Linked DNA regions of Neurospora crassa OR74A. The protein of the gene in region 1 binds, or shares a complex with, the protein of each later gene. Links are inferred from orthologs where the notes say so. Each region holds a gene or a part of one and is shown in the gene's direction. Other genes may lie near its edges. The genes, in order: NCU03836 and NCU02935.

Region 1 (11,478 bases):
AGGGACCAGATTTTGCCCATCAAAATATCACCCACGACGCGAGTTTTCCATCAAAAAACTCGACGGTTCGATTTCGCATGCAATCCCGCATGAGATAAAAAAAAATTTCGTCGGGGTTTCCCCAGGCCTTTCTGCCGCAATTGCCCACACCTTCACCATGGCGACCCGCAAGGTTCGGTACAAGAAACTGAGTGTCAAAACACAACTTGCGGTGCTCAGGGAGGATCAAATTGAAGCCTCTGAGTATGAATCACTCACTTCCGAAAACCAAATAGCCACCGGTGTCGAACAGGCCGAGGAAAATGTGAGTTCAACACCTATGTCCGATTGATCGCGACCGGGGTCACGTGCACGTGCACGTGCCACCCGTCTGCCGCGCCTCCATCACGCCTCCATCACCAACTCACCTTACCTACCTTCCATGCACACAGCCATGCATGTCACCGGTGCTGACCTTACCCCTTCTGTAACTAGGAATACCATCTTCAAGCTGTGCTCAAGGGGGCAGGAGTCGCCGCCGACCAGGAGATTCCTGTCCCCCCTCCACAGCAGAGTGAACTGGATTACGACCAGTTCTACCCTCAAAAGGTGGCCAAGACATCCACGTATATCCGTTTTTCCCAAACGGTAGAAGAATGCATCAGTTGCTTGTATGACATGACCGAGGACGATGAGACGTTCCTCAAGTCCTACAACATGAAACTGACCCCGTCTGCTCGTCTCTCCGAAGATGATTTCGAGAGGATCATGGACGTGTATGAGGACATGGCGGCGAACATAACGCCGTTCTCGGCCATAGACCAGACAGTGCCGTCGTATCAGGAGATGTTGCGAGGACTGGAGCCATTAGACAGCACAAAAGTCATGGTTCATGCCAAGCAGATATATGAGTACTGGAAGTCGCGCCGCGAAATCAGCAAAAACCGACCGCTCAACCCTACACTGAAATTCGAGACACATGCGGAAAGCGACGAGCTTGATCCCTACGTCTGCTTTCGCCGAAGAGAGATTCGTCAAACTCGCAAAACGAGGGCAAGAGATGTCCAGAGTGCGGACAAACTCAAGCGGCTGCGGAAGGAGCTGGAGGAAGGTCGTCAACTCATCCTGGCAGCCCACAACCGGGAATTGCTCAAGGCAGATATGCTCAAGGTAGAGCGAGCCATCTTCGATCAACGAGCCATCATCAAGGAGCAAAAACTCCGACTCGGCATCAGGACGGGCGACGAGGATCTAGTAAACCAAAAGGTTAGTCAAACGGCAAGACGTGCAAGACTTACATCAGCCAACGCTAACGCTTCACAACAGCCGCAAAAGAGGAAGGCTCCGGAGGCACCCTCAGCTCAAAGACCCCCTCCACCCCCCCAGATCCGTATGCCTGTGCGCCCCGATGGCCGTCCCGCAGAGTCAGATCTTGTCCAACTCTCAGATCGCCTTGCCGAGAAGAATGCGGAGCTCATCATCGAGATCGAGAAGAAGATTCAGAACCACATCGACTGGAACAAGAACTATGTCGACCTCACTGGCAAGCCGCTGTCTCCCGTTCAGGGCCCAAGACAAGATTTGGGCTTCAGACCTGCCAAGACGCAGTATCTCATGACGCCACCAGCGTCTGCATCCTCAGGATCCATGGATGAGCCCACCCCGATGGATCTTGATAAGCCCAAACCCAACCCACCACCACCAGTAAAATTCAGGGGCGTTGCCCAGGACGAACAATCATTGGCGCATCCACCCTCATATCGTCGTCGTATCGGCCGGTTGAACAGGTTGTGGATCGACCGTCGTGGTTTACCTAGTCCAGCCCGAGACCTCAGTGAAGAACAGTCCGATCGCTGGAAGTATGATCAGTCCTCTGATGACGAGGACGACGCGCCGGTGTATATGCTGGACCCCTTTGATACAAAGGCATTGAGGTACCGTGCTTCAATACCACTCCAGACGGTCACAAGACCTCCCCCACCGGTTATCAACCGGCAGTTCATCCCTCCGGGCGCCGTCCCACAACAACTTGCCCAATCTTCTTTTGCTCCGGGACAACCACAACCGCAATCACAACCTCAACCAAATCAATCACAATCTCTCCCTCTACCTCAACCACAACAACCAGTAGCACAGCCACAGCCGCAACCGCAGCCCCAGGCTCAACCGGTGTCATAAAATTGGCGTTTGTAGGAGTGTTGTGTTGTCATCTTTTTTAGATATCGTTTGGCTTTTTTCGCGGGCTGGTGGTCGAGCAGCCGAATAAACTTCGGAAGACCGCTGCTGTGTATACCCCTCAACTCTCGATTGATGCATTTAGCGATATGGGGCCAGGGCTAAAGAGAAGGATCTGGCCGGGGCGAGGCGTTTGGGTTGCGGCTTTTGCGTAGGTTTGGCGAAGTGGGGAACGGCTCATGTATATATGTAAACAAGTAGTCGTACCGATATCGTGTAGATGGCGGCGGATAGCTGAGACACGCGAGAAGCTGTGCAGCGACAACAGTAATGAGATACCAAAGCAGTAAAATACCACTTCTGGCTCCCATCAGTTGCTTCACGCGGTGTTGTATTGTGCAGTGTGACTGAACCACGAAAGTGGCTATGGCCATCAAGCGTGGAGGCTGGTCTCGATGTCTGTCAAGGCATCTTCGCTTCTGGAAAGCCTGGAGGGCGAACGAAGCCTTATAGACCGGGTGCGTCCGCGAGGTTGTTGCCCAGGGGAAAGCAGGAATGATCTCAGAGATGTTCCGAGCGTTTGGTCATCGGCAGCCCCGAGACAAGTGCTGCGAGCGTATGCATGTGCCACATTTGGGCTTAGGTAACACACGGTGCTGCCCTGGGCCGATGTGCGAATTGGTCGGAGGTGTGCGAGAATTTGCGAACCGGGTGGGCCAATAGGAAACCAGCAATCGAGCTGCGGTCCGACACAGGACGCTTCACAAGAAGACAGGAAGTTGGGAGGACGACAAAAGTGTCGAGAAAGAGAAAAAGGTGTTCCCTCGCGCCCCTGGTAGACCGGGTCGCTGCTTAGCGTAGAGACGGGGGTCGCCCCTTTGGCTTTCGGAGCGACCGTGCAGCGTGCTTGGTGATAAAAGAGTGGGGACGCCTCAAAGAAAGAGGTCTCGCTAGGTACGTAGGTGGAAAAAAAGCTGAGAAAGAGAAAACTCGAGCAGAGAGAAATTGACCGGTCGTTACGATATCGATGCTGGCTTGGACGTCGAGTCTTCCGTTGCCAGGCTTCGGAGTCGAGACCGCTGCTCCTTTTGGTGCAGGACCCTGGCTTCTGGCAGAACTGCTGATCGCCGGTTTTCCGGAACCGAAGATGCCTTGCAAAAAGGGACATTCCGATCTGGTAATCCGCGATTTTGACGTTGGTGAAAACTCGAGCAGGAGAGTTCGAGGGCGCTCTAGAGTGGGATCACCGAGCAGCAATGGTTGGCTGGCTGGCTGACTGGAGGCCAGCTTTGCTGACTTGGTGGCGAGGTTCGTGATTTTGAACCATGAAGCCAGCAGCCCACAACAGCATTTCCCAAAGACTTGGAAAGGCGGAAGAAGAAGCGATGTCCAAAGAAGGTGGAAGACAGAATGGAGGTGTCGAGTGAACAGCTTTCCATGGGTGGTGGGTGGTCCTGTGGTGCAGAGTTCTGGTCAGCCTAGGTTCACCCACAACGGTACCGGACATATCAAGCCCACATCAGACGGGTTGTGCGAGACAAAAAGATGGCCAAAGCAGCATTCTGAAGTCAGACGAACGAGGAAAACACACCTCAAGAGGGAATATGGGTATCTCCATCCCCATAGACTTGGGGCGGTGCTGAATTCACGGCCTCCAATCCGGCCCAGACGGCCCCGTGAGCTCGAAAGCTTGCAAGAACCGAACAAGAAGCAGCCCGGCCATGTTCTGCCGAAGAAATGGCAGGCAAAGGATGGTGAAGACAAGGAAGAAGTCGGCTGGGCTGTTGAAAGAGGCAGGTCTGGCCGTGCGGTTGGGAGGTTTGGGTTTGGCGGCAACGAGGTGAGGTGTTGGGTGATACAGGCTCGGAGGATGGAAGATGGTTGGACGGCTGCGGACTCTCGCTTGGCTGGGAGAATTGATTCTCGGTGCAGTGGGGTCCCGTGCAGAGAGCCCCAAGCCCAGGCTCGGCAGACCCCGAACTGCTCGGAGCCTTTTTGCACTTCCACAGAGCAAGTCAAATCACGTAAGCTCATCTGCACATATTTGTTGCAATGGAACTGTTGGATCAGCTCATGGCGAAAAAGCTAGAAATAATCAAACTTCTAGTGTCTTTTACACAACTCATGCATCCATGGTCACAGTTTGCGCCGTTGCGGCTATATGTGGATAGAAATCGTTGCTACTACTAGCGCACGAGCCACGCTACGTGCCTGCCTTACATAACATTGCATTGCGCATCCAAAGCAACATAAAGGTCCCACTCGACTGTGCACAAGCGGCTGCGGGGACCCACATTTCATTGAACCCCTCATCGACTCCATGGAAGGCTCTGACGAAATCCCATTGCTGATTCCCATGGCGAGGCCGTTCCCTTGTTTTGAGAAGAACAACGGGCGAGAATGGCTTTAAAGCATCGTTACAAGTAGTGAACATGTCGACCGGTTTTAGGAGACGGGATACCGGCCCGCTGGGGGAATAAGTATGTACATCCTCTTTCATCTCGATCTCGAGTTTCGTCACCTTGATCACTACGGCGCGCCTAGCCTAGGTATTCACAGACGCGACGAAATTTTCCCCACTCTAAAAAGGTGCCCCTCCATTATCACTTTCTCCATCTGACATCTGGCATTGGATGTGGCACTGACAACATCCATCCATCCATCCTATTCAGTACGCGACGCGACGCCTATCAACAACCAAAGGATATCAAGGTCCTCGATAAACATCCCCAACGAAATATCCTTGCGAGTTATCTGATACGAAGCAACCGGCTCCCGATTCACCAAGTAACCGAAACCCTCTCCCTCCCTCGCTCTATCCAACAAAGCCCCAACAGCCAACAATGCCCGACGCCAAAGGCCGCCGCATCGCTCTCGGATGCGAAGGCTCCGCCAACAAGCTCGGCATCGGCATCATTGCGCACGACCCCATCACCGGCGAAGCCCTTGTCCTGTCCAACGTGCGCGACACCTTCGTCTCTCCTCCCGGCACCGGTTTCCTTCCCAAGGACACAGCCCGACACCACCGTGCCTACTTTGTGCGTGTAGCCAAGAAGGCGCTCGCCTTGTCGGGGGTCTCCATCTCGGAAATCGACTGCATCTGCTACACCAAGGGGCCCGGGATGGGCGGGCCCCTAACGTCGGTGGCCGTGGGCGCCCGCACACTCGCGCTGCTGTGGGGTAAAGAATTGGTGGGCGTGAACCACTGTGTCGGGCATATCGAGATGGGGCGGGCGATAACGGGGGCGTCGAACCCGGTGGTGCTGTACGTGAGCGGGGGTAATACGCAGGTGATTGCGTACGCGGAGCAGCGGTACCGTATCTTTGGCGAGACGCTGGATATTGCAGTGGGTAATTGCCTGGACCGGTTCGCGCGCACGCTGGAGATCAGCAACGACCCGGCGCCCGGGTACAATATTGAGCAGCTGGCCAAGCAAGGTGGGCGAGTCTTGTTGGACTTGCCGTATGCGGTCAAGGGAATGGATTGCTCGTTCAGCGGAATCCTGGGGCGGGCAGATGACTTGGCGGCGCAGATGAAGGCGGGCGAGCCGGGCCCCGACGGCGAACCGTTTACACCCGCAGATCTGTGCTTCAGCTTGCAGGAAACGGTATTTGCCATGCTTGTCGAGATCACCGAGCGGGCTATGGCGCACGTCGGTAGCAACCAGGTTCTTATTGTTGGCGGTGTCGGTTGCAACGAGCGGCTACAGGAGATGATGGGCGCGATGGCAGCGGAGCGAGGCGGAAGTGTCTACGCCACCGACGAGCGGTTCTGCATCGACAACGGCATCATGATTGCTCATGCTGGTCTATTGGCCTACGAGACGGGCTTCCGGACGCCGCTTGATGAAAGCACATGTACACAACGCTTCAGAACCGACGAAGTCTTCGTCAAGTGGAGGGACTAATGACAAGGAAGGAAACGAAGACGAAGATGACCATTACGACGATACCCCCAAATCCCATAACCTTTACTCTATCCACGGCAGCCACTCTATATGCGCCTCTTGTTGTCCCTTAGTGCCCCCTTAATGGAGCAGGATGCCCATGGACAGTTTGCCGACAACAATTTGCGCCCGCTTCCATAAAGTGTCCTCGTCATCGCTACAGCGTCCTATAGACATTACTTGTAGACATATCTAGAATAGGTCATACTGGGCGGTTCATCATGCACCGCTATTCTACTCATGACTTGCGCTGTTCGTCTAGTAGTGGTAGCCACCAGCCAACTGTACCCAGCTCTGACTACTAGCATTCCAAACTCAGATGCCCTCTGTCGTTGTTGGCTTGTACATGATTGTCGTCACATACTGTACAGTCCGTTAGCATCAACGACTACGTGCAAAAAGATGCAGCTACGAAATACGGGGAGACGAACCTTGTTCTTGTATCTCGTCGTGGCCGACACAGCCAGAATATTATTCTTAATACTGCTAGTAGCTAGATGGTTAAGAACGGTATGGTTGGGCATGTTCAGAACGCTGTTGTCATCCTTGATCAAGGTGGCCGCGTTGAGGATGGGCTTGCCGAGGAAGCCAGGAAGCGCAGGCGGCGTTGGGAGTTTCTCGATGGCGTTGACAGCACTCAGGTAAGGTGGACTTTCCTCGGGTGCGTCGAAGTCGAGTAGATATTGCGGGATCTTGTTCTCGAACAGCTCCGCCGGAGGGACAGGTCGGTCCCTAGGTGCCTTGCTTTCCTCCGTCTCGGACGCGGAGGTTTTGGGCTCCGTAGGTTGCTGGGAATCCTTGGCGGCGCTTGCAGCAGCTGCCTGGGCAGCGGTGCGCCCCACATCATCAGGGCTGACCTCGATGTAGTTGACCAGGTTGTTGCCAAAGTCTACCGTGGTCGGCAAGTCTGGCGAGGTCTGCATTTGCCCGTCAACCAGAAAGCGAACGTGATGTGTGCCCGGCAGGATATTGATAATAGCAGCGAATACACCCGGTCGGCCCTCACTGTTGGCGAGTAGCGGTGTCAGCAAGGCCCCATCCGTATTGAGAGCGAAAGTGGCCGGGATGTAGAAAGTACTTACACCGGGTGTAATCGTGTCTTCCTGTTCCATTGGAAGATGGTGCCTGTCACGTAAACCTTCTCGCCGCCACGGAGCCATTCGAGCCTGGTGGGGACAGTCGGTCTAGTCTTGTCCACCCGTAGCTCCTCCGTGTCTTCTTCGTCCAGAGTTGAGCTGTTACTCAAGTTGGAAGAGCGTCTGGTGAGCGCGGTGAAAGTGTCGGCATCCTCGAGTGGGACCCCAATGTCGGTCGGGGCAATGATAGGCGATCCGGGTGTGTGGACCTCTTCCTCGATCGGCAGAGGTAGTCGCGGCGGCCTGGTCAGGTACGAGACATCTTGCAGACTGCTCAGCTGCATAGCCGCAGTCTCAAAGGCATCCGATCTCTCTGATAGCGGTGATCGCACCGGCGACCTAGGTGAGCACGACGAGGCGTGGCAGGGTGTGGGCACGGCTACAGGTTTCGCGGGCTCATGACTGTCTTCGGGTCTCAGCTGTCTTACTTCGACAGGTTTGGTGGGGGTGGCAGAGCTGGTAGGCACCGACGAGCCCGGCGAGCCGCTCTGAGAAGGTGGCATTCGCGAGTGCAGCGACTTGGGACGAGCGGTGGTTGAGGGCGGCTGGACGGCGGTGCCCTGGGCCTGGGTCAAGGAGGGCTCAGGAGGGGCAGCGACTCGCTGATTTGGGACCGGTATAGGGTGCTTGGTATCGCGCTTCACTGCTCTGGCAGAGTCATTTTGGATGGAAGCCAGCGACTGGTGCTGAGACTGCGATTGAGAGGAGGAGGAGGAGGATTGCGGATTCGGGGTCTTGGAGTCTCTGGAGGTGGAGGGGTTGTTCCCCATTTTCCCTAGCTCGATCGCTGGCGCTGATGACGGGATGGGGTCGCCGTGGTGGTCGGGTCGGTCGAACGGGGTCGTCACAGGTGGTTCGCTGCTACCGCGGTCTGCTGCTGTTACTGCTACACCTGTTCAACAATGCGTCCACCGGGTGCAATCAATTCATCTTCCACTCTCCGGGGTAATTGGCCGAGTTCGGATAGAAGGTGGTTTGACAGTCGAGGGGCTTTGCATGCTACGCCAGCGCTGGTCGTGGCTGTGGTTGTGTGGTTTTTGGGAATTCGAACGACGTTGTCAGGTGTCGTGTCGTAATAGAGTTGGAGCAGGCAATATCGCAGCAAACTGGAAGATGTGATGATTCGAGTCGTGTCGAATCGAGGATGCGCGAAACAAGTGGAAGAAGTGGAAGTCGAGAGAATGACGGGTAGGTAGAGAGCTCAGTTCAGTTATCAGAGTATCACTGCAGCAGTTGACTGTCCTCCCTTGGGCCAAAAAGCACAGCTGCCATCCACCTGGTTGCTCGATAAGAAGCGGGCGACCACTGGCAACTGAATGGAACTCGGATGCAACGCCCCGGACTCGGCGAACAGAGTTGAACTGTGGATGAGTGTGAGACGGCGCCCAGCCCAACTGCACGGCAGTGTCTCCACTGTCCACCTCCAGGCATCGGCCCCAGCTTCCACTTCGGCCCCCACCTTTCCCACATTCTCTCCTGCTTCTCTAGCTCCTGGACCGTGCGCCCCTTGCATGTCAACTCCTGGCCCGCTGTGAGACCTGGAGCTTGCGCTGGCGCGACGCGGCAGGCAAGAGAGGCGGCCGATCTTCTTTCCAGAGAACAACTTATCGATGTTCACATGCATTCCTCTAAAGAACATCACCCTCCTTCGTCAAGTGTCCTTTTCCAGTTATTCATTCACTCGCTCAGCTATTCGTAGACGAGTGAGTTATCGGTTTCCGCCCCCAAAGTTACCAGTAACATCGCCATCCCTACACATCTCCCAAAAATGTCGGAGAACTACGTTGCCCCCGGCCAGCAGCGCTACCTTCGTGCCTGCATGGTCTGCTCTATCGTCATGACCTATGCTGTAAGTCGAGCTGCCCTTCCTCGTTTCTAGTCACTCTATGACCGACAAGTTTCTGACCTTTTTTGTTTTTGTCATAGCGCTTCCGTGACGAAGGATGCCCCAACTGCGAAGACTTCCTCCATCTCCAGGGCTCGCCGGATCAGATCGACAGCTGCACGTCGCAAGTCTTTGAAGGAATCATCACCATTGCCAACCCGCAGAAGTCGTGGGTGGCGAAGTGGCAGAGGCTGGACGGTTATGTGAAGGGTGTATACGCGACCAAGGTGTCGGGCCAGTTGCCGGATGACGTGCGCACCACGTTGGAGGATGACGGCATTCAGTATATCCCGTAAGTTTCCTGCTTACACTCGTGTGGTCTGGCGAAGCAGGCTATGATCGTGGGGTTTTCGGGGCACAGCCAGAAACTAACTTGGAGCAGGCGCGATGGCAGTGCGACGGAAGCGGACTAGAAACTCGAAGCTGCGGTGCAAGAAAACAAGACGGAATAGGGCGGATAAGAAAGCAGGAAAGAGAACCGACAAGCAAGAAGGAAGAGGGACCGATAATAGATCGTTCACAGACAACCCAGGAGCGGAATGCGGAATGCCTGTTAAAGGGAAGGCAACAGGAGTTCAAGGCGTTAAGGCTGGTTTAAAGGGCGTGGTCTAGACAGCAGGATAGTGGCCATTTTTTGGGTTTTGCATGATCAACCCAGGGCTATAATTACACACTGCAGCGAAATACAACAATCATACAAATGAGTTTATCACTACCTAACCTATATGGAAGATTATTCATCCAGCTACGGATCCCTTTTACGAAAACCCCAATGCAATATGGTATCTTTTTTTTAAACATTTCCCATCACGCCGAAAACGCCCCTATAACATGTACCGAAATATTGCCAAACCCGGAGATAGCATAACCTTTGACCAGTTACCCACGTGAGACTCCACAGTATGTTAAAACTGGAAGCGTGGCTTCTTGTTGGGAAAGTTCCCACCCTTCTCCTCGCGAGCCCTCTTGCGCTCCAACTCCTCCTTCATTATCCTCTCGGCCTCGCTCATCTTCTTGGGCGGAGCAGCCATAACCTTCTTGGGAGCCCCAGCAAACGCATTCTTGAAGACGTTCTTCGGTTGGGGCTTCATGCCGAACTTCATAGATACCGGCTTCGTGGCGGGAGCAGCGGCAGCAGCAGGACCAGCAGGACCAGCAGTCGAGTCAACCGCGGGTTTGCTTTCCTCTGCCGTCGTCTTGGCAGTGGCCTCTTCGCCCTTTGAACTTGCTTCCACCTTTGCTTGCTCAGAGCTTACACCGTCCGTCGTCGTCTTCGTTATTGTCGAAGGTGGCGTCACGGTATCCTTCTTCTCCTCCGCAGCAGGAGGAACCGATCCGTCCCCAGCACCCGGTGTTGGCATTGCCGCCGCCGATGTCGAACCCTTCTCACCCTCACCCGACCCCGACCCGGGCTCCTCTTTCTTTGTTGTGGCCGATTTTCCAAAACTCAACTTAATCTTCTCCCCCTCCCTCCTCTTCAACTCCTTCCTCTCCTCCTCCTCCGCATCAAAGCTAACCCCCCTCGCCTCGGCATCCTTTTGCGCTCTCTTAATTTGCTCCCTCAAAGCCCTTTGCTCCCTCTCCTCATCCCCCTTATCCATCATCTCCTTCCTCCTGACCTTCTCCCTCCTCTCCATCGCCTCGGGAGAATCATCAATCCACGCCACAAACAACCCCTCCCCCTCCTTCTCCTCCACCCTACACAACCCTTCCCTGCCCAAAAACTTTGCAAACTCTGTGAGGGAATGCCACTTGGTCGCGTTGAGATGCACGTGGTCCTTGCGCGCAATCACCTCCTGGTAAAATTTATTGATGTGGATCTCCTTCTCGCCATGGCTGGTCTTCAGCTGCGCGATGAAATCCTTGAGGAACTGGTCGGAAAAGGTGTCTTGCACGCCCTTGAAGTTGGCGCCCGCCTCGAGCGCTTTGGCCGTGTGCGAGGGCGACTGGCAGTGCATCTTGTACCCGTTCTCGTCGCGGCAGGATTTCTCGCACAGTTGGCAGTACCAGCGCAGCCGGTTGAGGCCGCGGGATTTCATCTTGTTGGCCAGATATTTGGCGGAGCCGACTTCTGCTTTGGGCATCGTGAATGGGTAATTACGGACTCCGCTGCGCGCGAGTCGGGGCGGGTGGGGGAGGTGATTGGTTGTATGTGTTTTGTTTTCGGAGGGTGTCGCTCGGTACAGTACAGGACGATGCGGCGGATGACGGTTTGGAAGTTGCGTTGGGTCAAGATTAACTATGTGACGGAGATGGTGAGTGAGTAGTGTTGGATGACTTGGAGCAAAAATCGTGGTGTTTCGCTCTTCGACCACCTTGCGTTGTTGTTGGAAAGTTGATGTTCTGCAACGGGTAA
Region 2 (11,545 bases), on another chromosome or scaffold:
GAAGCGTACCTAGGTTGCTTGTACCGGTTCGTACCGAGTACCTGACAAGGCGGGGGGGCTCTCTTTTACCTTTCCTCGCAATCGCAAGGTACATACCTGGTGGTAGTATTAGATTCAAGCAATTATGTCATTGAACATCCTTGAGAGTCTGTTGTTGTTCACCCATCAAATATTCCATCAACGATCATCCCATCACCCACTCTGAATCTCGCGGACCTTCCAAAAAGACATCGATACCCTTCAGTTTATGAGTTCAAGATGTCCACTCGAAATTAGAAAAGCCCTGTCAGCCATCCACCTTACCTACCCACCAGTATGAAAGTCATATCCCCAACGGTTGTGTACCACTCTACTTTTCATCACTTGTGCCTGCCACAAGATAGATTCGATCCCTAAATGCACAACTTCACCTAAACACTTATCAACTGTGTTTTGGTATTAACAGCCATTGAATGTCATTTAAAGACTTACCATTACCCTCAGCATCCAGAAAGACAAAAGAGAAAAAGTGCTGCTTCATTAAAAACGCCTAATATCCTATGCACAATAGGTAGAAGAAAAAGAAAAAAAATCAACCACCGATACCCCAAAAAACCGATCCTTGACTCCTTAGCTCCCAGCTCCCACCCAATGCATTCCATGGAAATCCTCAAGTTCCTAAACCCCCAACCAGCGAGACGAGCAAGCAGCAGCACCTAATAGTACCTATAACGACCGATTGCCATCAAATTCCCATTCCCATTTCCTTCCCGTCCCTCGCTACCTAATCCATTCCATGCTGATTCAAGAATCAAAACTCCGTCTTTTGAAAACCAGAACAGCCCAGAGAGAATCCCGCCTCCAAACTCCCAAAACACCTCGCTTTTCCTAGTACCTTTGTATGTTTTGCAAGGTCCAGATATAGACCACACATACAAAATATGATCTAACCCAAAACGAAATAATACGGCATATGAAAGCCCAAAACCGCAGCACCAAGGAAACGCCCACAGCAGTCCCATCGTCTCCTCAAAATTTCTTCTACCCCCCTCCGATCCCACTCACGCTTCCATTCACTTGCCCGGACATCCTGCTCTTTCTCCTTCCATCCCATCTCCTCCAGTTTATTATCATCCTCTTCCGCATCTTCCTCTTCGTCGATAATGTGCCCTCCCTATGAGGCATTCCCGTTCCCAATAACATCCGAAAACAACAGCAGCGGCCACTGTCCACCCCCGGCTCCAACCACAGCTGAATCCGCCGCCGACACTCCCAACCCATCAGCTCCGTCTCCCGGTCCGTGGCCGGCTCCGCCGTTAACATGCGCATGCGAATGGTCGACCATTCCGGCCCCCGACACGTCACCCGGCCTGGTTGACCCCAGAGTTAGTAGCGCATTAGCGCTGTACCGCTCTTGGGAATCAGCCATGGCGGCCGCCCAGTCATGCCATGCATTGTTGTTGGGTGCATTGGAGGCGACTGATGCTACGGCAAATTGCGGGTGAACCTGTGGTCGCCATTCTTCCGTCCCGGTACCCGGTTGGCCTGTTGTGGAAACGTGCTGGGTGGCTTGAGAAGCGAAAGCTATTAAAGGGTTGATGGCGGAAGAGGTTTGGTCCATTGCTGCGGCAACGGTTTGCGGGGGTGCTGTTGATGAGGTTGGGGTGGCTGTTGCGTAGAGGTATTGCACACTGCCGCCGGAGGGGTCGTAGGCTGCTAGGTTAACGCCATTACTGGTTTGGTGGGCGTCGGCGCTGTTTTCATTCAGAGACATGGTTTGGTAGGGGGTTGCTGAGCCATCGTAGTACCCGGTTCCGTTTGTGCTGACGCTACTGCGGTGGTCATTGGGTGTGACCGAGTGACTGGACGCAATACCGTTGCTGTTGAGTGGTTGCTTAAACGGTAGGAGAGGCTGCTGCTGGAATGGTGATGTTGATTGTTGTTTGGCTATGGTCTGGTCGACTGACAGTCCATCCTTACGGCTCATGTCGCGTTCGATGCGGGTGATGGTCTGCTTGATAATCGTGTCCAGGGTGGTTGCTAGACGGTTTCCGGTACCTGTTAGTCGACCAATCTCGCTGATAATTTCGAGGCCCAAAACCATATCTGCCCTTAAAGTGGCCATCTCCATATGGGTGATCTCATGTCTCCTTTCCCAGTTTGCGACGAGAATCGTCAACGTTGAGGCGACGTATACCGACAACTGGTACCATGTTGTGTCCAGAGACTTCAGTTTCAACAGCTCCCCTACCACCTTCAATAGCTTCCGAGCTGTCTGCTCGCATATCCTTGTGTTCTCAGCACAGAACTTGGGGTCCTTTTCTAGACAAACCGACGGATGTCTAAGACAAAGCTTAAACTCGAGACTGATGGCCTGGGTATACAGTGCAAACACCAAGTCGGTCGGCTGACACTTTTCCACTCGCAGACAGTCGGGTAGTTCATTCGTCAGCTTGCGCATTCCGGCCTCAAGTTCGGCGACGGTATCGACATATTTCTTGGGATCTCGCCTCACGCTGTAGATGCTAGAATACATCTCCATGTACAAAGGAACAGCCTTGAAGCCGGCAAGCCCAATTTGATAGCGGCAATGACCAATCTTGGATGGGTCCAAGATGCCATCTTCTTCGAGATACTCGTCATCAATAGCAATTGGGAACTCAATGTCGAATTCCTCGAGTGTGATGGGCATTGGCCTGCCAAGTCGGCCGTTAAGGGTAATGATAATACCCAGGATGGACCACCACACCCTTTTGCGCAATTCGTTTTCAAGAGTTGTGCGCCCATTCGGTATCTTGTTGCTCCGATGGAAGTTGAGTTCAATGGCCTTCATCATGGCAAAGTTGGCAATGGTAAAGGAACATCCTGGTTTGGGAAAATTGCGGGTGTGAGACGCCAGCATGGCCAAAGCCTGGACCGCGGTAACCGTCTGAGAAACGGCAAGTTCGAAGAACTTACTCAAACACCAATGGTAGTGCTTGTTAGAAAGGTCATTGAGCTGCGCATGGTCCTCTGGCTTCTCGCGATGGTTCCTGATACCGTACTGGAAGTACATGCTTGATATCATCATGCGGACCAGAACGAGTTCGGGTACTGTCGCTTTAAAGGTCGGATCATCATAGATGCGAGTCAAGAGCTGCATAAACGAAGGCCTGTGGACTAGTGGCATGTACGGGTATATGGTGAGGAAGTACCACTCGGCATATGTAAAGGCGTCGTGTCTCGAGGGGAGGTCGCAATGTTCCATTGGCGGGTTTATCCTGACTAAGGACTGATAAAAGGCCGTGACCGATTTGTTATACAACGGTGATCCGATGGGAGTATTTGGCGAAGGCTCATCCATATCGGGGTCAGGATCGTCAAACGAAGTGATCTCAATGGTAGTTCCAAGAACCGAAAGGGTGGTGCCTTTAAATGTCACGCCTAGGTAGCTCTCTGTCGGCCTCGATTCCAAGAGCGAACATCTCGTATAGCGCCCTGGTGTGCTCTGTGACCCTCGCCTGCTTTTTCTATACCACACCGAGCCTTGTTGCTGCCATTCGCCTTGGGACACGGGATCGTGGATGGGATTCCCCATGGCATCCAGGGTGACACCCGGTGGGTGGGGGTTTCTATTCGCGTTTGACCCTTCCCACGGTCGGATTTCAATTTTATGGTCGGCCAACACTCTTTCGAGGTCCCTCACCCTGGCTTCGAGTTGTTGGGTATAGCCTCGACGTTCGGTACGGCCTGTTACACGGTCTGTTACAACGCATTCGATGTTTTGGCTCGCGCAATGGGAGCAGCCCGCAGGGGAGGCATCGCAGCGGATTTTTCGGACCTGGGGACGCACAGAAATTAGTATGTTACGGGAACGCGACGCCGGTTAGACGCGCAGCAGGCTGTCAGAGCGACAGGTCGGAAAATCAGTACCTTGCACCTGTCACAAGCCTGACCAGTCCGCGTGTATTGTGAGAGCTTGGTCTTGACAACACTCGAAAAGTCTTCTGTACTGCGCTCAAGACGGGGCAGCTTCATCTTGGGTTGTAGGCCATTGTCGAGAGGAGTGTCCCCGGCTTCGCTTGGCCGCTTTGGAGGACCGCCTGGGGGCATGATGTTTGAGTCTCCAATCTTGACCAGATCTGTAGGCGAGCGTGGGACGATTCGAGATGACGATTCGAAAGAATGATAGTAGTAACCGTTGTGGGCAGCGAATGGGTTGGTTTGTTGTCAATCGGGTGGTTTCTTGGAAACGGGTTATGCCGTGGAATTGCAGCGCAGTGAGCAAGCGAGCGGATGAGCGACGGCGCCGACGGACTTCAGCTGCCACGCTGAGTCGCTGGTCTGACTGTGGTCAGGGTAGTGGCGGTGGTGATGGCGGTGGTGGTGGTGGTTGTGGTGTGTCGTGAGAAGAGAGGGACGGGATGGAAAGGGACGGACGGGACGGATGTGCGATGGAGATTGCCGCGCGGTGGATATGGCGTGCCAATTAATATTGAACGATGACCGGGAACCTTGAAGCGAAGGATGGTTGGCGTAGGGAGGCACTGATGGCGCTGGATTCCTGGAGGGGAGGGGAGGGGAGGGGAGTGAGAGCGAGGGATGTCGGTTCCGAAAGCGTCAATCAAGGAATGGATGGATGTGTCCAGGGCGCCGGAATCGAGGAATTCAACTGAAGGGAATTAAAAGTTCACGGACTAGGGGGGGGGGGGGGGGGGGGGCGGCCGTCGATCGCTGATCAACCCAAGAACATTGAAAGAAAAGAAGGAACATGCTATCACCGGCCCATGATTGTTGCGACAAAAAGGCAATGAATTGGGAAATATGGCCCATTCAGGTCAAGGGCAATTCGTCCTCCTCGACGAATGAATCCGATTTCACTCGGGGCGGATCCGTTACGTTCTGCGAGTGTCCCGATTTGGCATGGCTGCATCTGCATGGAAGTCGAGTTCACGGATTTGGTCCAATTCCCAATCATTCCCAATGCAATCACGATCATCGGTGCATGGCAAAGGGAACATCCATGGCTGAGAGTATCCGAGCGTGACTTAAGCTGGGTGGAGTTTTTATTGTATGTTAACGGGATTGACCTTCGTCCGAAGTGAGCAGCCTGTTTCTGGGCATCTTTCTCAAAGCCCTCAAGACTGGCGCTCATCCAATAGAAAGCCGAACGCTCTCCTGTTTCCAGTACACCAAAAAAGTGGCTTTTCGTAGCAGGGCCGTATATCCTTCTGTGGTTTCTTCGACTACACTACTATCCGATATTTCCCATCTCTTCCCATCAACATCGACTGAGGTGGGGGTCGGGACTACAGGTGGTGGTCCCCCTTCCCAAGACAACAACCATCATGTCAAAGTCAAGGTACGCCGCGGCATCCGTGTATCCGTCGACAATGACATTCCCTAAAACACAGCATATTGCTGACGCTACCTGGCCGTCGCAAGATAATGGGAAGCGTACCTCTAGACAGTCCGAGACATGTGTTCATGTATCCGCTGTGGTTGCGTTATTGCGACCGAGAGCCCAGATTGTGAGAACCTCGACGGCTGCACGCGCGCCATGTTCCACTTTTTGGGCTGCCAGATGGAAGAAACTCAGACAATCGGAACAGCGACCCATCGGCAATGTGACAAGTTGATTCCCTGTTACGTAGTATATGACCCAATACATACAGTCAAACGTTAAAGGGGCTGACGTCCGGGCCTCTTGGAATTGACATGCTTGGCGGGGTCACTTGTGTAGGTATTGATCCCTGTCACCAGCGCGACGCGCCCCGGCGCCCGGGGATCTGCCCCGCCATGGAGATCCCGCCGATGGGCGGCAAGGATGCATTCGCCGTCGCATTCAACTTTTGAGTCTGTTTCCTTATCGCCAAATCAGAAAAAGTATCACTGGAAATTGCCCAAAAAAAGAGTACGGTACGGCACCCAAACACCTTCTCGACCTCAATCCAAACCAAATAATACTGACGTCGGCTTCTCAGCATAACGGACCGACACATGATTCAATAACACATCAATCAACCCGTCGCATTCCATCCATCTACCCCACCAGCCATCACCATCACGACCATTTACAACCGAGGACCACAACCGTCGCGATGGCGCTCGAAACCCTCCAAATCGAACACGTCCCCTCGGACCACCATGTCTACGCCGCCCTCTTCCGCGACGTCCAAAACGTCGACTTCCTCCAAGCCCAGCTCATCGGCAAGAACCCCGAGTTCGAGTACGCCTTCATCGACGCTTCAGTCATCATCTCCCGCACACACCTGTTCGCCGCCATCTTCCGCGCGCTCAACACCTTGACTGAGGGAACCCTTCAGACGCCCAACGTCCATTCCGATATTGTCATTGGGCTAAGTCCGACCAACAATGTTCGTCTTTCTATCCATCCATCCATCCATCCATGTCCTTCCTCTTTTGCGATAATCATAATCCACCTTCACTGCTTTTTTTTTTCTTTTTTTTTTTTTTTTTTTTTTTTTTTTGCTTTAAGTGAGCCAACCCATGAGCTAACAAAACAAAAAAAAAAAAAAAAACAGATCTCCGAATCCTACCGCCGCTACGGTCTAACCCCCTCCAAAACGCGCGACGTCCTGGTCATCAAAATCGTCTACCCCAAACTCAGCTCCGAAAACTCGACAATCACCAGCGAACAACAACCAACACCAGAAAGCATATGGCAACACCTGACTACTCACATTCAAGGCACGCCCGTACCGCTTACAAACGAGGAACTCGCCAAGTCGACGGATTGGGCAAAAGTGCGCAAGTATTACAAGCTGAATGGCGTGCCGGGCGTCGAGAGGATAGACAAGGCGGATGAGGAGGGGAGGCGGAAGGAGATGGAGGGGTTGGTTATTAGTGGGATTGCGCTGAGGGGGTTGTAGATGAGGCAAAGAAAGGATTGGGGGAGGAGGAGGAATACAAGCATAGGACAAGATAAAGGTCAAGACAAAAAGTCGATTGACAGATAAGAATGAAGGAACTGAAGATACCTCTAGAGGTTGGGGAATGACCTGAGACGGAATTGGGTTGTAGAGAAGCATAGACTTGGACATGGAGAGCTGCATGTTGAACTGACACCAGACCAAGATACTACTGACATCTTTACTGTGCAGCCGTGGCGAAAGTGTCTGAGCGATGCATACAACAACAGAGCAAAAGATGGAAAGAAAAGACAAAAGTAGTGGATGTCAGGATCGAAGCGGGAACATGGCCTAGGTGAATTATTGGCGGGATGCTACCATAGTGAATTGGCGCCATTCCAGGGCAAGATTTCAGGTGATTTCACAGGCATGTTAACAGAACGGTAAGTTGGTCTCATAAAGTTTTGATGTTGGAAACAATATTGTCATAGGACCTTTGAATGGGAAGACGGAAATCACGACGACTAGACCGGGATGCTTTCATTCATGACTTGAATATTTGTATCTGTATCTGTCAAGCAAAGTACCCACGCTCAGACCAAGGCCAAATCTACTAGGTAATCGATCCAAGATGCCAGGCAAGCAACCCTCGCAATGCGCCAAAAATAATGATCCCCAAAGGCCATAAAAAAATGACATTTCAGGTTCTTACACCCACTGGAGGGCGAGCTTAAGAAGAAACCCCAAATAGCCCCTTCACTCTCCTCCTAACCTCCCTTCCCATCGCCTCCCGTCCACTCCTCGTCCTCTGCACCGCATCCCGATTCTCATAAGCCCTCCGCAACAAATACTTCATGCACTCCCCCGTCGATCCCCACACCAGGTACTTGTACACCTGCGGCTTATTGACCATTTCACTTCCCTTCTCACTGCCCTTCTCACTTTCCTTCTCCGCCGCCATCTCCATTTCCTTGGGAGTCTCGTGCGGCCCAGCAACAAGCTCACAACTAACCTCGTCCGCCATTCCCTGCAGCTGGGCGAACGCCACCTGTTCATAGCCCAGCTTGGCCACGCCGCTGTCGAGAAGGGCCTTGCCCTTGAGTACCGATTCGCGGTTGTGCGTGGCTAGAACGACGCCCACGTCGGGGAAGTTGGTCGTCTCCTTTTCAGCAGATCCAGACTGGGGGACAGGAGGTTGCAAGGGGCCAGACCAGGTCTTGCGGAGCAAGGCTTCGGCAATCCCATCGTACTGGCCATCCGTGTCGGCCTTGGTGTCGCAGATGAGATATCTGGGATCAGCGCCCAAGTAAGCGCCGCGAACGAGTTTCACGCCGAGGGTGAACCCTTCGGACGCGGCGATGGCGAGGTGCTTAGAGAGAGTGGCAGGTGTGGATTTGAGGTAGGCTTGGTAAGTGCCGTAGACTACGGCGTTGCTTTTGTTGTAGCGGCGCATGTAGTCGAGCGTCCAGTCGTCGATACCAGGCTGGAGAGCATTTTGTTCGGCGTCGAAGAGGAGGCGGACGCCCCGCTCGGCGGCGAGGTTGCAGATTCCGTCGATGGCAGAACCTAGAGCCTCGGAGGGTGGGAGCTGTTTGGAAAGACTATAAAGGGCCTGGCGGCCGGCGCCGGTGAATTTGAGAGCTACGAAGTCGCCGGGAGAGGCAAGGCGGACGGTCTCCATGGTTCCTTCGGCCCAAGGGTTGATTTCCGTGCGAATGCACTCCTCCGCAGCGGCGCCACCCTCGGCCGCGCAGGAGGCGAGATCTTTGGTCTCCGAATCAGTAAGGACCACCTCACGGGCGTAGCCGAGGATGACACCACTGAAACCGATTTGCTTGAGGGAGTCGATGGTTTGGCGGACCTCGGCCGGATTCTCACCGGCGCAGAATTGGGCGTAGAAGGTCTTCTTGAGGAATGCGCGGAGGAGAGGGTTTCGGTCGGGGTTAAGAACTGGGTTTGTGGTATGGGCTAGGACGGACATGACAGCTAGTGAAGGCGGTAGGAGGAAGGGCGAGGAGGAAACGGTGGTGGTCATCCATGATCGGAGGACGTTTGTTAGTGGCAGTACTGCCAATGGCGAAGGTCCCGGTGTCTTGGGCATCTCACTGGACTGAGACCCGCCTGTTGCTGGTAATGATGATGCGTTGTTGATGGTTAGGTGGTCGGTAGGCTTAGGTCGGTTGGTGGAGGAGTGTATAAGTCGGGTGGCATATGTTCTCCCGACGCCGTTGATACGCCCGACCATTAAAATTGAATGTGAGACATGATGACGTGAGATAGAAGCCGCGGCAGGTCCAAGGGCCGAAGCAATGGTTCTTGCCCGAGCATGTCCTACGTTGCAAACCAACTGCCTGCTGGCCGGTGATGTTGAAGTAGGGAACATATTGCAGTGTGTGATGGGGGTGCCGGGATGAGACCAAATAAAGACAGGTCAACACCGTACAAACACAAAGGATGATGAAGCAGGTACCGAGGGAAACAGAGACGGGGTAATGACTGTGGCATATATAGATGCAGCTTGATTCATGACAATCAACCACACCACAGACCTTCGTCTCATCTTTATCTCCGGCTCGCCCCTGGGAGGCCGGGACCGCTAGCAAATCGAACGTACCAGATCCATCCCCTCCGAGTACACTAGCGCAGCGTGGGACGGGCAGAAGACAAGTTCAGGCCGACTTGCTACACTACTATCTGGGATAAACCCTCATCGATCCTCCTTTGTCAAGGTTTCGTTGACGCGGGTGATGCTGCGGCGGGATGGTACCTGATGCAGCCATTGGCATCAATTGCGCTTGCTTCTTATCGGGCGTCACGTGGCCGTCCCCCAAGGCCGCCAGTAGCCGCGATCTGCTGGGGGGTGATCGGAGAGGAGATTGGGCTGAGTGACGTGCCCCCTTTGATGCCCGCTTGATGAATGGCCAACAATTGGTTCTTCCCAGCCCTGTCTCGCCAATGGAAGGATGCTGAAATAACAGTTCCAATCCAAGCATTCCAGAGCTTTCCTAGATATACCCACCTATCAGCTGATACCTTTACCCCTAGTGTAGGCCGCCGGGTCTTCGAATTCCAATGCCGATGTTGGAAAGCTTCGATACGTACTGGCCAATAATGGTGACTTGTGCGCATACCTCGGCGAAAGAACGCCGATGTGTGTCTAGACTCTACTCTATAGAATCCGATGCGGCTGAGCGGGCGCCATGTTGGATTCCCACAATGCTTGGGCATTTCGTGCAGAATTGAGGGTCTTGAGTTTGTCATAGAAATGGACTAGTAAACCGACTGCCCGATAAGTTGCAGGGGTTGTGCTGTTTCGACCTTGAATAACCGTTGCGGAGCATTTGGGACTTCCGAAATCGGCTGTGATGGTAACACTGAAGAGCAACTAACCAACCTTGTGTTTTTGTATCTCTTCACCGATCGGATTGGGATGCACCTTTGAGTGGGCAAGGGGGATTGGACTTGTATCGTCTTTAAATCACCCGCTCCTTCTGGTTTTCGTCCGCGGTATTCTTAAAGCCGCCAACGCGGCGCTTGAGGAATTCGACATATCCGATGGGTCGACCTCTTGCGATGCCAGCTACATCCTGCAAGCCTCCGTAAGCGAGACCTACGACCAGGGCAGTTTTGGTTGTTCGGGCCGCCATGGGCAAAGAGAAACGATCTATATGGGAAAGTCATGATTAGCGTTTGATGCGCAAGATCTAGGACAGACAATCACGTACTCCATAGACTGAAGGCTCCCGCAACAGTCACACAGGCGGTTACAGTATTGAAGATGTCGGCCGTCCCGCGATAGGCGTCAAACATGTGCTCGATGCCAAACATGGCTGTTGTCCAGAAGCAAATCTTGGCTCCCATCCTGGCACCCTCCTTGGCGCCGCCCCAGATTGAGTTGTAGTTCTTGCTCTTGTGATAAAAGTACCATCCCATCTTGGTGGTCGGCAGCTTATGAGCGTGTTCGGCGCGAAAGCGCATACCGGCTGTCTTGATGCCTTGGCTCATTCCGAGTGTGAAGCCAATGAGCAGAGCCGTGCTCGACGCAAGGGGGATTCGCACGGCATCCGGAATGGAAAGACGACATTTGGTAACGTATTCGGGGACGGGCTCTGGCGCGGCGGCCTCGGTTTCTTTGGTGGTTGACATGTCGACCAGTATCTATCGAATGTCGTATCGCAGTCTCCTGTCGTGTTGTGCTTGTCGGAATCCTCAGGTAATGGAAGTTGTGGAGTTCAATCGGGGCAGCTCGAGCCGATGTAAAGACGCGGGTCAAGGTGTCTGCAGCTGTTCGCTGGCGATCCACCGTGTTGGACAGTGAAAGACAACTTGGATCAGTGACACTGGAAACAACTTCAGTTGAAATCTCCCCCGAAAGTCCAGGTTGACGAGACGGGGACCTAACAGCTTCCACTTGGTAGGCTGCGTGCCTGCATGTGGATATCAGAGATTGGAGATGGCCCGAGCTCCCTTCTATGTATGTAGCTGCCGCCCCCTCCAAAACGCGGAGAAAGCGGGTCGGATCGCGTCTGCAGTCTCAGTGTCTCCAACCTGGGCCACCCGACCAACGTCATCACAGCCCAACTCCACTGTCCATCCCTTGTTGCAGCTTCCACTTCCACATGCCAGGAACAGACTGACCCCAACTTTTTAGATCTCAGCCTAGCGAAATCTTGACAAAGGGTTTCTACTTCTTTCTTCTGTACACTCAACATATT

Evidence for each region.
Region 2: NCU03836 (region 1) and NCU02935 share a complex: the UniProt entries of both Schizosaccharomyces pombe proteins name them as parts of the EKC/KEOPS complex. The link is inferred for Neurospora crassa OR74A from reciprocal best matches to the Schizosaccharomyces pombe genes kae1 and cgi121.

The regions. Positions count from the first base shown.
Region 1 is NC_026505.1:2,564,554-2,576,031, forward strand, and holds NCU03836 (O-sialoglycoprotein endopeptidase), read left to right. Parts: upstream 1-4,470; 5' UTR 4,471-4,743; intron 4,744-4,826; 5' UTR 4,827-4,997; coding exon 4,998-6,062; 3' UTR 6,063-6,343; downstream 6,344-11,478. Other genes in the region: NCU03834 (histone acetyltransferase complex component Epl1), read left to right, coding at 158-304, 475-1,245, 1,306-2,157; NCU03835 (hypothetical protein), read left to right, coding at 3,411-3,462, 3,678-3,994, 4,087-4,178, 4,262-4,325; NCU03837 (Snf1 kinase complex beta-subunit Gal83), read right to left, coding at 6,417-6,464, 6,533-7,106, 7,184-8,007; NCU03838 (transcription elongation factor spt-4), read left to right, coding at 9,006-9,086, 9,164-9,414, 9,505-9,535; NCU03839 (APF1), read right to left, coding at 10,028-11,206. UniProt on the Schizosaccharomyces pombe protein: Component of the EKC/KEOPS complex that is required for the formation of a threonylcarbamoyl group on adenosine at position 37 (t(6)A37) in tRNAs that read codons beginning with adenine.
Region 2 is NC_026501.1:8,637,834-8,649,378, reverse strand, and holds NCU02935 (cgi-121), read left to right. Parts: upstream 1-5,233; 5' UTR 5,234-5,320; intron 5,321-5,403; 5' UTR 5,404-5,877; intron 5,878-5,942; 5' UTR 5,943-6,059; coding exon 6,060-6,335; intron 6,336-6,503; coding exon 6,504-6,851; 3' UTR 6,852-7,186; downstream 7,187-11,545. Other genes in the region: NCU02934 (hypothetical protein), read right to left, coding at 1,154-3,799, 3,892-4,071; NCU02936 (proline oxidase), read right to left, coding at 7,561-9,213; NCU02937 (hypothetical protein), read right to left, coding at 10,304-10,494, 10,556-10,976. UniProt on the Schizosaccharomyces pombe protein: Component of the EKC/KEOPS complex that is required for the formation of a threonylcarbamoyl group on adenosine at position 37 (t(6)A37) in tRNAs that read codons beginning with adenine.